2 linked regions of the Arabidopsis thaliana genome follow. The protein of the gene in region 2 interacts with the protein of the main gene of each other region in a pairwise test. Each region holds a gene or a part of one and is shown on either strand. Other genes may lie near its edges.

Region 1 (6,642 bases), on a different chromosome or scaffold from region 2:
TTAGGGTAAGCACCCTTGGAATTTGGCAGCTCATTTTATTATCTCTTTGTGATATATCCCGTACGACCATAATGTGGGTTTTCAGGAGTATTAGTCGAGGACCAACTGTGGATGCTCATTGGATACATGACTCGCCAATCCATTCTGATGTAGAGTCCAAAGTGAGGAAGCTGCTCGCTGAACTTGGGAGTATCCAGAAAATACTTGGAATTCAGGTGGGCAACACTTTTTTTATTGTTTGGCTTGCAGTCAGCTTTCGTTTCATTTTACATTTGGTTTAACATGGCCATGTTCGTTTAGGTGTGTGCATATAAAGATGGGAAAGTCATAATTGACACTGCTGCTGGAGTGCTTGGAAGATATGACCCTCGTCCAGTTCAACCCGATAGTTTATTTCCTGTTTTCTCTGTGACAAAGGGTGTCACTGCTGGAATGATACATTGGCTTGTTGACAAAAGGTGAGTAACAACATTTTAAGCTTTCAAAAAATTTCATGTATTCATTTCACACACCCTGATATTTTGAATCGGCTCCAATCTTACATATTGGTCTCATTGTTAATTCCATGATCCCATTTGCAGAACACATGCTTAGTCATATTTAGTAATATTTATTCAATGATACAGGAAACTCCAGCTCGACCAGACTGTGGCAAATATGTGGCCAGGGTTCGGATCAAATGGAAAAGATACCATAAAGGTATAAGGAGCTACACTGTCACTTAACCATTTCGCAATCTATTGCCCTTCATTTTAATACCTCGGTTTTGTATTTCAGGTCCATCATGTGCTTAACCATACATCTGGGATGCAAAATTCCTTTGACCCTGTAGGAGAAAATCCTCTGCTTATTTGTGACTGGGATGAATGTTTGAAACGGATTGCTAATTCATCACCTGAAACAGAGCCTGGCAGTCAGCAGTCCTATCACTATCTCACGTTTGGATGGCTATGTGGTGGAATCCTCGAGGTAAACTAATTATATCATTCATTGTTTAAGCATAAAAACTATGCAAGTCGTCAAGTTGTAATTTTTTCTCTTACCTCTACTACGTTAATGCCAATCTTGCTTTCATCAATCTTGAACAGTATGCTTCTGGAAAGAAACTCCAGGAGATCCTTGAAGAGTCCATTGTTAAACCCCTAAATATTGATGGAGAACTGTACATTGGAATCCCCCCAGGTAAATAGTAACAGTCACAGACATTGTGAATTAGTAAATTACGCTATGAGCGTTATTAATAATTATCTAACATCTTAATTATAGGTGTTGAATCTAGGCTTGCCACATTGACGTTCGACACTGATGAAATGAGCAAGCTTTCGTCCATTGCCAGCCAACCTGAGCTTCCTTCCACATTTCAGCCTGACAAGATCATACAAATGGCAACCAACTTGCCAGTCTTATTTAACACATTGAATGTGCGCAGAGCCATAATCCCTGCGGCTAATGGACATTGCTCTGCTCGTGCACTTGCAAGGTACTATGCAACCCTAGCAGATGGTGGCCTAGTGCCACCTCCACATTCCTCTTTATCCCAGCCACCACTAGGTAGCCACACCCATGTTCCGAAATTCACGTCGTTGAAAGACACAACAAAAAAGAAAAAGGGTAAGGAGATGGCAGCTACAGAAAAGGGTAAATCAAAAGATCATCAAGAGAGGAAGCTTTATGATGAGAAACAGTTTATGAGTGCTAGTAGCAGCAGAGAGTCAAATACAGAAAGTTTAGCCAGGCTAGTTGATACTAACAGTTCTGCTGGCAAAACTGAGATCAATAGCGATGATCATCAACATGATATTCATAATATGTTTAGCAACCCGAGGATCCATGATGCTTTCATGGGTGCTGGAGACTACAGTGGCTTAGTAGTGCCTGATGGAAAGTTTGGGCTTGGTTTTAAGCGCGCCATTTCTCAAGATGGGTCTCTGGTTGGCTTTGGACATTCAGGGTTAGGAGGATCAACAGGCTTCTGTGACATCAACAACAGATTTTCCATTGCAGTAACACTGAACAAGATGTCTATGGGAGGTGTAACGGCTAATATTGTGAAGCTTGTTTGCTCGGAATTAAATATCCCATTGCCTAAGGACTTCGCAACTGATATAGGTGCAGATTCGCAGATGGGTACGCCTCTAATCAACTGAGGTTGGTTTTCGACGTAAGTTTTGTCTGCTCATGTTACAACATGCATAGCTGTCGCCTTAAATAGCTAATAGAAATTGCTGGAAAGTAAAGTGTAATGGATCAGTGTTTTTGTTTGTTTGTCTGTATACTTACTTAAGCGAACACATTTAAGCAATTTCCTTGGAGAATGTAATTTATTGGCCTATACATGCTTCAGTTTCCAGATTACAATCTGCAGGATTTGGAGCAATTAAGTATATGTTGACGAAACTTGAGTTTATTTAACGAACATGCTGCTTTCATTATATGTTTCTAGTTCTATAGCGAAACACATACAGGAAATTCGCTGAGTGATCATTACATGTTCTGAAGAAAGAGAGTCATGGCCAGATGTCTGAGACGCAGCTAACAGCTTCACTGGATACATTACCAAGTCCAGGGCTTGAGTTCTGTCCAGAAAGTGTCATTCCAGGGAACAAAGATTGGTCACTGTGGACTGTAATGGCGGGCGAGGTATTTCCCGTGTAGTGCAGACTGCTGATGGAGTGTGATGGTGGACTTAGATGAGTTTGTAGAAGTTGATTCAAGCTGCTAGTGAGTGACCCTCTCGCTACCAAATCTTCTGCTAGTTTCACCTATATAGAATTTACTTAACTTAGCACATTCCGGTTATTACTTTCCCAAATTGAAAAGAGCAAGTGATAGATGATACCTTGACTCTCAGAGTTTCAACATCTGATTTGAGAACTCTGTTATTTGTTCCAGCGCTACGAAACTGTTGTGTTGCGTCTATGAGCTGCTTGTACAGTGTTGAGTTATCGCCTTTCAAAGAATCAACCTTGAAGAAAACACAAGGTCACCATTAAAACATTACTCTCTGATACAAATCATCCAACAAGCTATTTGTTAACCTTACCTGAGTCTCAAGATCTACCAAGTACTCTTGCTTCCTTCTCCTCGACCTCTTTGCTGATTCCCTGTTTGAGTTCATCCTGAATTCACATCACAGAAAAAGATTAAGAAGAATTGGTGATTCTCTATCTCAGTGTTTTACATCTAACTTTTTTATTGGTACCTAACATACCTTCTAATACGTTTCAGATCATTGGGATCATTAGTCATTTCAGATTGCCCTGCTTCTGTCTCGGCATCTTCGTCATCAGAGTTAACATGAGAAGATCCACTTGTGGTTCTCCTAACTCCTCCTCTTACCTCAGGTTTATTGGCTGACACTGGACTATCAGCTGACAGATTCTCTTTGTAGATAAGAGCCACACAAGTAGTGAACATTAATATCAACTGCAACAACACTTATTACTTACATGGAGTCAAATCAAAGAGACATGCACATACCGCAGATTGAGGACTGTGCATCGCGAAAAGGTCCAGCCGGAAACAATCCCTCAGACCACAAAAGACTATCTCTTAACTCACAAGTGTAATCCTACAACCAAAAGAAACTAGACTCTTAATTACTACAATATCTCTGGATCTTGATATAGACACAAGCAACAATGATACGAATAAGAGAGACAACAAAAGGACTAACCCGGTTCATGAGGTCGAAACAAGGGTCTAGAGGGCTTGTAGTGAGATACTCTTGTAGAGCCAGCTCAGAAGCACTTCTCTTCATACCAATGTCTTTAGCTGTGTGATTATCCATTTTCTTTGAATGTGAACACACAAGAAAGAAGAGAATTGGTTGGAAAAGAGAGGAGAGGGGAAGAGTAAGTGGTGATAGACATCTTCTTTATATAAGTCTCTCTTCTTTACTAAAGTTGTGAAAAAGCTTCTTAATGGCTAAGCAAAATTGAATTTGCATTGTCAATGCAACGTCCTCATTTCCAACTTTTTTTTTCTTTAATGACAACAATAACAAAAGAGAATAGAAAAGCAAAGCCACAGAGATGTATATTAGGCTCTGTAGTATTGGTGAATATTATGGTACCAATTATATGCTAATGATAACCTTTAATCCCTTAACTAGGGAGACTATCTAAGATAGCTGGAGACTCTTTCAATATAAATCATATCTGAATTCAAACATTAAGTTGTTTGTCAGCTCATTAATATGTTGGAGCTTTTGATTTGAAAATGAATGTTATAGGCATATATATAAGCAGCTTATATTCATAAAAGGATCCTAAAATATTTCGAAATAAGCTTTTAAATATTTGAAAATATTTAGATAATAATATTGTCACTCATGTACATTTGTATTCTTGGCACATGTCAAGAACCTTACACTTACATAAATTACTCTACTACATAACCTGTTTGAATTCGAATTTGAAGTACTTAACGACTAATTTAAGATTAATATACAAGGGGCATAGTCCAATGATGAAACTACAAAAACATTGAAAATGAATAAATTAACCTTTTACGGTAAATGTTTTACCGAATATATAATTTCATAAAACACTAAAAACTAATCTTCATAAATAATTGATAATATTTGAAGGAAAAATATTGATAATATTGTTTCAGTTTTTTACACCTTTGTATCATGTAGTAAAAATCTTTAAAATATTTATTATCATTCATTACTACTACAACACCAAAAAGAAAAACTTAAGAATTTTCCGGTCACACGAACAACACAAAATGCTTCGTCCTTTGTTTACTCTTACTTTTCGCCATATGCTTTTGGAAAGCAGATCTAAAAGACATTTCTTTCCTCCAGCACCAGAAATACTTTTTATTTCATCAACTTTTGTATGCGTAAACCAACTTTTCTTTCTTTTGATCTGCACTTCCTTTAAAAAGTTAAAATATTTCACAACAAAACAATAAAAAGAAACAAACTAGGTAATGTGTCTTTAAACAAACAAAAGTTGTTTAGATCCGAAAATAGAATCCAAAAGCATTTTAAAATTATTATTTCTCACTAACTAGAACTTTCGAACCTATAGTGGACTACAATGTTTACAATCTACCGACTACAGTACAATTCAGTAACCATAGTAACTAGTACAATTAAAATTCAATCCTTAGTGATGTTGAAAATTTTCATGTAATTTAGATGATGATTGATATACGTTTTTTGTAAGAAACGAATTTCTACTTGAGGCACATGCTAAATTTGTAAGTTAAAATACAGAAAATATGAATGAAAATTAGTTTATGAACACAAAAGTAATTTTTGTTTTCTTTTAGCAAAAAAAGAAGAAGTAATTTTTCTGTTTCTACAAACTCTACTTGTAATCTCCAAACGAGGTTTTGCAAAGAAAAAGAAAAGAAGATGAAAGGAATTATAAACAAAGGAAAAGAGAAACAAAAAAAAGACGTTGTTCTATGTCTAGTGATCACTAGAGTAGTTGGGGTGATTTAGTTTTCAGAAATTACTTTTCAAATCATATAACTGTGTTAGTATATTTTTTGGTCATGGGTAGATAAAAGTATTATAGAACAAACAAAAATTCTCATTTAAAATTCATGACAAAAACAAGAATTCTCGTGACCAAATGAATTTTATCAAAGTTTATGTGACCAAATAAAAAACACTAGAATCTTTAGTTTCAGTTTTGAGGGACCAATTGAATCTTTATTTGTTTTTTTTTTTTAAAAATTATTTTTGATACTATAATATTTAGTGTAGTAATTATATTTAGAATCTTTCTGGTTACAGATTTAAAATATTATTCCAGTAAAAGATCATGTATGACGTGAACGAGATTGAAGCTAGAGGTTAAAGATCACAAATAATAAAAGTTCATAAAAGCAAGGCCATAAGTCATAACAAGAGAAAATCTCCAAGTGCATTTATTAACAATCCGGAGGTTATGATATCATCGTCATGTACTATCAATAAGCATCATCCTTTAACCAAAAAAGTCATCTTGCGTCCTAGATTCCTAGTCTTCACCACCATTCGTAAAATCAGAGGAACGACGTATATCCACTATACGTAGTTTTTCTTTATTGTTGTTGCGTGACACGAAATCGAGGTGAGAAAGAACAAGAACCATCACCAAAACGCTAAAGAACACGAGGATGGGACCAAAGATCCATAACATTAGAGAAAAGCCTGCGTAGAACAACCTGTTACCTACCGTGTTAAGAAAGATACCCTTTTCGAACATCTCGCTGACGTGCTCAGACGTGAGGAAGACGCAACCAGAAGGATTAGGGTCTAAGTTAGGGATGTTTACGAGAATGGCGACTTGGTTTAGGAAACGGATGGAGAGGGAGTGGAAGAAAAAGGAGAAGATGAAAATTGTGAGAATTGTTAGGTATTTGATGGATATGGCGAAATCTCCATGAGCACCAAAAACGGCGTCGTTTAGAGGCTTCTTGATGCTGTAAGTGCTGCTTAACACTGCGGCTAGACCCGCGCAGAGAAGCACGCAGGTCGTGGCCATCAGTGTAGCTCCCATTACTATGTTACGCAGTGTTTGTACCGCCAATATGTTCGTCTTCTGATTGTCCTGAAAAATTAAACAACAAACAATAACCAATCTGCATATTTCTCCAATTATAAATATAGCTTATAGGTTTTCTTTTATGAGAAGA
Region 2 (6,946 bases):
GAAAAATAAAACGTCTATAGCGTATATAGTAATATGATAAATGAATTTTAGTTACGAATATATTAATTAAATTGAAGTATATGACAGTGAAAAAAGTAGTATATAAGCTGTACAACGGCTAAGAATTTCAATATTTGTAAAGGACGATTTATTATGTCTTTTAATCATCTCTTGACCTCCGTAACATGGTTGAAATTATGTTCAATCGTTGAGGCTTATTAGAGAGAACTAATCAAAATTGGGAAAGTTGCGCGCTTACGCAACTCTAATGACATTTTCACTCTAATTTAACATATTATTTTGATAACAAAAAAATATGATTTTGACAACCTTAAATACCTTTGCATGTTTGTACAAAAAAAAATTAAAAAAAAATTGCATGTTACGTGGGAATAGAAAAGAAATGTGATCCACTAGCAGACAAAACATTACCTTCGTTTCGCCCTGTGAGCATCACTAAAAACGTTTTTAATCATATAGATATGTTTTTTGGGATTTTTTTCTCCTTTTGAGTTTTGTCTAATCGTTTGACTAAAGCTCTTCCTTTGACTAAAGCTCTTCTCAAGCATATATCTTTCAATCTGAGGGAATCTTCAAGAATATCTGCAGACAATTCGTGTAAAATCAGTTGGTGTATGTTTTAATGTAGATCAAAAGTTAATGCCTGTCTTTGTTCGTGGGATTAGAGTATAGTACATCGAGTTTAATTAGGCATAAACCAACCCACAATCTATATATGTAACCAAATGTCTCTATGGATTGACTCACGACCGTCCTGTGGCTCCTATATTTTTCTCCAAGACTCCTCCAACCTTCTTGATTGTCTGTTTTTCAGGCTGATAGGTTGTTATATTACGTCATGCAAAAGATCTTTAAGTTGTTTGTGAAAGTCCATTATAATTAATAAACTTATATATATATATATATATATATTCTCTTATATAACGAAAAGAACCTTATATTAGATTCTTTAGATGCATATATATTGTATACATAATTAACCGACTGATTATCAATTATGTTTGTTCAGGTAGATCTAGGATAATTAACAAACGTTATAAAATCATTTAATTAGGCGATCCACTATTAAAGTCTTTGAATTATCATGTGTTTTTAGGTCAAGTACCGGCAAATATTGTTCCCTGCACATGACAAATTTGCCATAATTGATTATCACTTCCAAATTATTATGTTTTTGAATTTTTTAACAACGGCTATTATAAAAGGTGCATTTGCTATATAAGCTTATGGAAGAAGATATCATTTAAAACAAAATTTATGATCGGAAAATCGTAAAATGAATAAGGTGTTTTTTTGCATGATAACAAGTGTATCATCGGATAAATAATGTATTACATAATTCATGTTATTGGTTAAAATTATCCACGATTATTATCCCACTAATTTCAGATTTTCTAGCATAGTGTTTTTTTTCTTTTCTTTTTTTTTTGTAATAAATCTTTACCATGCATATGGTGATTTAGTGCGTATACTCTAGCTAGTATAAAATGATATTCTGGTTTTTATCAACTATCTCCTTTAGTACTTCACATTCTGTTAGTTTTTTTTTTAATAATTAACCCCTTCACTTAACTTACGTTTTGGGTCTTTATTATCTTCGAAACTACAAACAGTAAGCAATGAATTACATATCTTTTCAATGTTCCTAAGAGCCTAGCTAGATCAAAACACATAAGATGCCTTTTTATAATCTCTCGAGTCTGTCGACACATGTACGATATTCTCAAGAAGGAATACTAAACTTGAAATAAAGGTAAAAAATATATACCGCAATTATCAAATAGAAGACTTCTTCATATAAAATAAAAAGAGGCTTTCTATTTATAATATTTATGAAATGAACCATCCGTGATCAATGGATATAAAACAAACTATCCAGCAACAAAAAGTATAGTTCTGCCAAAAGGGTAGAATAGGATTCCCATTATTACTCACGATGTAGTATAACCATTATTTTGTGATGTACTTGTATATGGATCTATTGGTGATAAATGGAACTGTGAAATTTAAAATCCCAAAAAGAAATTTGAGATAAGAAAATCAATTAAAAGATGATGTGTAAAAGCAAAGAATACAAGAGGCTATGATTTCACCTATAAGTCTAGCACACAAAAAAAATCTCCAAAATTCACAAGAAATAAGTTTAAAATATTTTACAAGAATCTGCACAGTTTCATTTCTTATTCTGAGAGATCTTCAGACATAAAAGGATTTTATGTAAGATGTTATATGTTGTTTATCTTTTTCCAGATCAAAAAGAAAATAAGGTTTCTTCTTATTACAACATTAACCTACCAACCCTCAATTCATCTAGATTCTTAAAAGTTTTGAATTTCGTAAGTCTTCTTCTTAAGAATAGATCCAAATCTATAAACTGAATCTAATATCATCCACACTCGTTCATGACTAAAAACACCTTAATCAACATTAACACCTTTTTAAAATTTTACTTTGGCGAGTTGAAGATTACCCAAAATTACAAGCTATTTTATCATTGATATTTCATCTGCCTACTATAATGTTTGATTGGCGTGAAACATGATTCTGTAGAGCGTACGTTACATGCGAAACTCTTACTACGATACATTTTATTACTTTACTATTAATGCTCAAGAAATTATATAAAAATGGGATTAGTACTTAAGAATAAAAAGAAAGTAATAAGCATATTACAATATTAAGAAAACACTTTGTACTCATGCGGCAACAGAGCCTTTATTACAGACACACTCATAACGATGATGCTTAGAGATACCTAACGCCTAAAACGGACCCAAACAAACAAAAATTTGAAATGGAAACAAATCAAACAACAGACCCATTTTTATATATAAATCTCTCTCTTTGGACATGTCTCTAAATCGGACAAATAAAAACGGCCCCATTTCTTTGTGATTTCGAGGGGGTTTTTAGGTCCACATTTAATACATTAAAGCATCAGAAGACGCCATGAGAGGCTGGTTCATAATATAAGACATGTTCATCTGATTCACGAAGAAATCATCACACTCCAAACCAACCAGAGGGTTCGAACACATGCCCATGTTGTTGTTGTTGTTGTTGTTGCTACTGTCGAGGAACTCGATGATGTCGTTGAGAGATTGGAGCCTGTGGTTAAGTTCATCAAGCTGAGCTCTGAGAACAGAGTTCTCTGCTTCAACGGTTAGGTAGTGTTGCGTTGTGATGCTGACACTTGTCACGATCTCCGTGTTCTCTTTTTTCAGATGATTAACCTGAGCCGTTAGATCGTCTAGGAGCTTTTGTTTCTTCATTCTTGATCTCCTTGCAGATTCACGGTTTGAGAGCATCCGTTTACGTTTCCTCTGCTCCATGAGACTCTCCTCCGATCCTGACGACGTTTGAATCGTCGACGAAGTTGTTCCCGACGACGACGATTCCATTTAGTAACACACAAACAAAAACAGGGAAGAGTTTTTTTTAAGAGAAGAGAGATAAAATATTTTAAAATGGGTTTTTAGGGGAATTAAAAACAGAACAGAACAAGACACAACAGAACAGGACAGGACCCAGATGACGAAAAACGAAGAAGAGAAATTTGAAAAGAAACTAGGGTTTTGTTGTAATTATGCGTATAGATATAAAACTGGAGATAAGTTCAGAGATCATGAGACATAGTAAAGCCAGTAAAGGAAGACAACAGAGAAAGATTGAACAAGATGGGTCCTGCGCCTGATTGTGGAATTTAACATAAACCCAGAGAGAAAGATCTCACTGAGTATTATTGGAGACATGTGTCTCAAACACCAAGAACTGCTGATTAAGCATCAATGTTTTTTTCTATTTCTTTTTTTTTGGTAGCTAGCCTACTCTTACAGAAGCTGAGATCTCTAAGAAATGAATCTTTGAAGAAATCAGAAGAAGAAGAAGGAATTAAAGGCGATATCTTCGAGAGAGAGAGAAAAGGGAGAGAAGGAGAGAAGAGGGGGCTTTGAAATGGTTGAGGAGAAAGATTTTATAGAAGAAAAATCATCAAAAAGCGTTTTGAGTGTTTGTGCAACTTGATGGTAAGCGATACATTTGTTTGGATTCTATTAGGGGAAGAAGATTCTTTTCTTTATTTTTACATTTTTTTCCTAACTTTTTTTTGGTAACATTTTTTCCCTAACCTTTAAAAAGTTTTCTAGAGTGTCTACATTAATCAAAGCAATATTTTAAACAATTAATTTTTCTTAATGAAATATTTCAAAATTAATTCAAAGATAAGTAAGAGAAAGTGTTTTTTCTTCTTTTGAATGGTATTGATCAAAAATTATATGTATTTAGTTGGTAAATTATTTACTCATCATTATGTCAAGATAAAAAAAATATTTATATTGTTTAATGAAAAGCCTAATCATATACTGTATTAAATTTAGATACTATGAATCTTGCATTTATCATAATTAAAAATAGAAAAATTCATCAAATAATTTTAAATAGAAAATTTAGATTTAAATTTATGCTTAAAATAACTCTTGAGATTATACATTCATCAAGTCTTGTTTTTTCCATAAATTTTGTTGCAGTTATACCTAAACATCCATTTAGATTTTTTTTTGCATTTAATAACAAGTAATTGAAAATATAGCTTTATTGAAGTTCTTAGAAACCTAATACCAAATAAATTTCCCTTTCAAATTTTATAAACTGTCGTGGTAGATAAAGATATTTCAAAGACAGAAAATTAAAGCTCACACAAAAACAGACCAGCTTAAAAATTGACCTGCCTAAATTTTTTTTTTTTTTCTTTTGGTTTTGTTTAGTACTGTGATTTCTTAGGAGGAAAGAAATTGAAAAAAAAAACAAAGTACAGTTTCTTTTACAAAGATTGCAGATAAAACTATTCTTTGTTTTAGAGGAAAACAAAACTTTTTCTTTGTTTTCTTCTTTTTATTATCACAAAAAGTAAAAAGTTAAGCTCAGAGGAAAAAAGAAGCGAGAACTTTATTAAATCTTCTTCAGTAAAACAGTAAGACCATCTCCATCGGTGAGAAACCCATTTTTATAAAATAATATAAATTTTATTATTATTTTATTATTTATTTTTTTAATTATTATTTGAACCAATCAAAACAAAACAAAAGCAAAAATGAGTTTCTCAAGTGAGAAACGTTTTTACTTTCTCTCCACATTTTTTGAATTTTTTGTTCTGTTTTAATAGACCAGAATCCAGAAACTCGCGATGGAAATGCTCTAAGTCTATATTTGTCGGGAGAAAAAAAACACACAGCAAATCTATTTTCACGTAACGACAAAAGAGAAAGAAAAATTAATGATATATTTGTAATGCGAATTATTATTAAAAAAAAAAGCAAAAAGAAAAACATGAAAGCCAGAATTTGTCTGCAGAAATCTATGAAACTAATTAAAAATCAATTACCACCAACACTAAATAAAATAGTTAATTTGTGAATAATCAAATGAAAAAAAACCTGAAATAAAAATAAAAAGAGATTAAGAAATACAAAAGAATCTGTGCTTAGAGTAAAATGAGAAGAACATGTGTAAGTAGGCCGAAGAAGAAGAAAAGGTGAGAGGGACATGTGAGGTTGGGATACGAACTCTCCAGACTCAATACAGCTGTTTTCATTTCCTAATCTTATTCTCCAATTTGTGAAAGATTTATACGTATTAATCTGGGTTAATTATTCAGATGCTGATAATATGTAAGGATTATAATAATTAGTTAAGTACTTGTAGAGTAGTAATTTAATACTACATTCTTAATGTATTCCACCGTCTTACCACAGATGGTGTTTTAGTTATAAAAATTGTTTTACAAAATTTAAATTACGATTAAATAATTTAACTTTTTTCGTTTTTTATTTATTTTCAGTTTCTCTTTATTAGTTTGGGAAAGTGTGGAAGAGATCCACTGATCCAGCCCACTTCCCAAAAACGATGCATGAATTTCACCAAACATATTCACTCAACATACTTTTTAGTCTATTTATAAATAAATCAAAACAGTTAAAAAGAAATATAACAAAATTAGTAAAAAAGAAATTACATGAATGGTACGACACACTTGATAGTTGATATCTAATCATGCCAACCTCCAAAATTCCGGGGATACTCTCACAAAATTGGGTTAAATTTTTAAAAGGTCAAAATTTTCTTCGGATCTTGAAATCTCATTATACAAAACTAACCGACATAGACCAACCGCTCATCGTCGTTAATCTTAATTTGCATAATCATTTTTTTCTTAATTAAATTGCATTATCATTGATAATGATGTAACGCCAATGTCGACAAACGTCTCTCCGCAATCCTCAAAAAGAATCTGAGAAAGTACATGTGTGTCCATTTATTACACGTTCACGGTTCATTCGATTACAATTTTGCTTGATGTTTCAATTGGATATTTTAATCCCAAAGTACAATTATTATTTCTTACAGTGGCTACAGACCTCAGTAGAACATCTTTTGACCTTCGAAGGAAACAAATGGTCTCAAGACTTCATGTGATTCTCTGTGAATATTTTTGTTTTAACTGTGTATATATATTCTTTAAAGAAACCCTTTGTGTATTTCGCTATATCTAACAATCAAAATCTTCAATAATTCACGTATATAAAAAGCTTGTCGAGAGATTGATTTGGTTGATATATCTACACGTACGTGTTTCCTTTTTTCTCCTTTTAATGTTGTTATTACTAGAAACCAAATTCGTTTGGCAACAAGTCTAGCTTTTAGATATCTAATTTCTTATACAAATTGACGGACATGGTGCTTTCTTTTGTTACAAATAAATAAGAAAAAAGTTTTATATATTGTTGCAGGAAAAATATGATCCGTAAATATCATGGAAGGTACATACAATCTTTGTGTGGGGACTACCAAAAGAAAGACAACGAAAGAGAGAGGACTAAAGGAAGTAATAAACGCAAATGCAAAAAAAGGAAAACAAAATTCAATTTGT

The links. The genes of interacting proteins can lie anywhere in the genome.
Region 1: the proteins of GBF6 (region 2) and BZIP9 interact in binary tests that used the Arabidopsis thaliana proteins (3 or more experiments, as listed by UniProt).

Annotation. Positions count from the first base shown.
Region 1 is NC_003076.8:8,512,407-8,519,048, reverse strand, and holds BZIP9 (basic leucine zipper 9), read right to left. Parts: upstream 3,850-6,642; 5' UTR 3,791-3,849; coding exon 3,677-3,790; intron 3,572-3,676; coding exon 3,481-3,571; intron 3,384-3,480; coding exon 3,212-3,383; intron 3,120-3,211; coding exon 3,044-3,119; intron 2,966-3,043; coding exon 2,840-2,965; intron 2,763-2,839; coding exon 2,508-2,762; 3' UTR 2,380-2,507; downstream 1-2,379. Other genes in the region: AT5G24810 (ABC1 family protein), read left to right, coding at 1-5, 86-215, 301-458, 627-699, 778-969, 1,089-1,182, 1,267-2,147; AT5G24790 (transmembrane protein, putative (Protein of unknown function, DUF599)), read right to left, coding at 5,985-6,557. UniProt on the Arabidopsis thaliana protein: Transcription factor.
Region 2 is NC_003075.7:16,518,925-16,525,870, reverse strand, and holds GBF6 (G-box binding factor 6), read right to left. Parts: upstream 4,011-6,946; 5' UTR 3,423-4,010; coding exon 2,943-3,422; 3' UTR 2,641-2,942; downstream 1-2,640. UniProt on the Arabidopsis thaliana protein: Transcription factor that binds to the DNA sequence 5'-ACTCAT-3' in target gene promoters. Promotes POX1/PRODH1 expression in response to hypoosmolarity stress.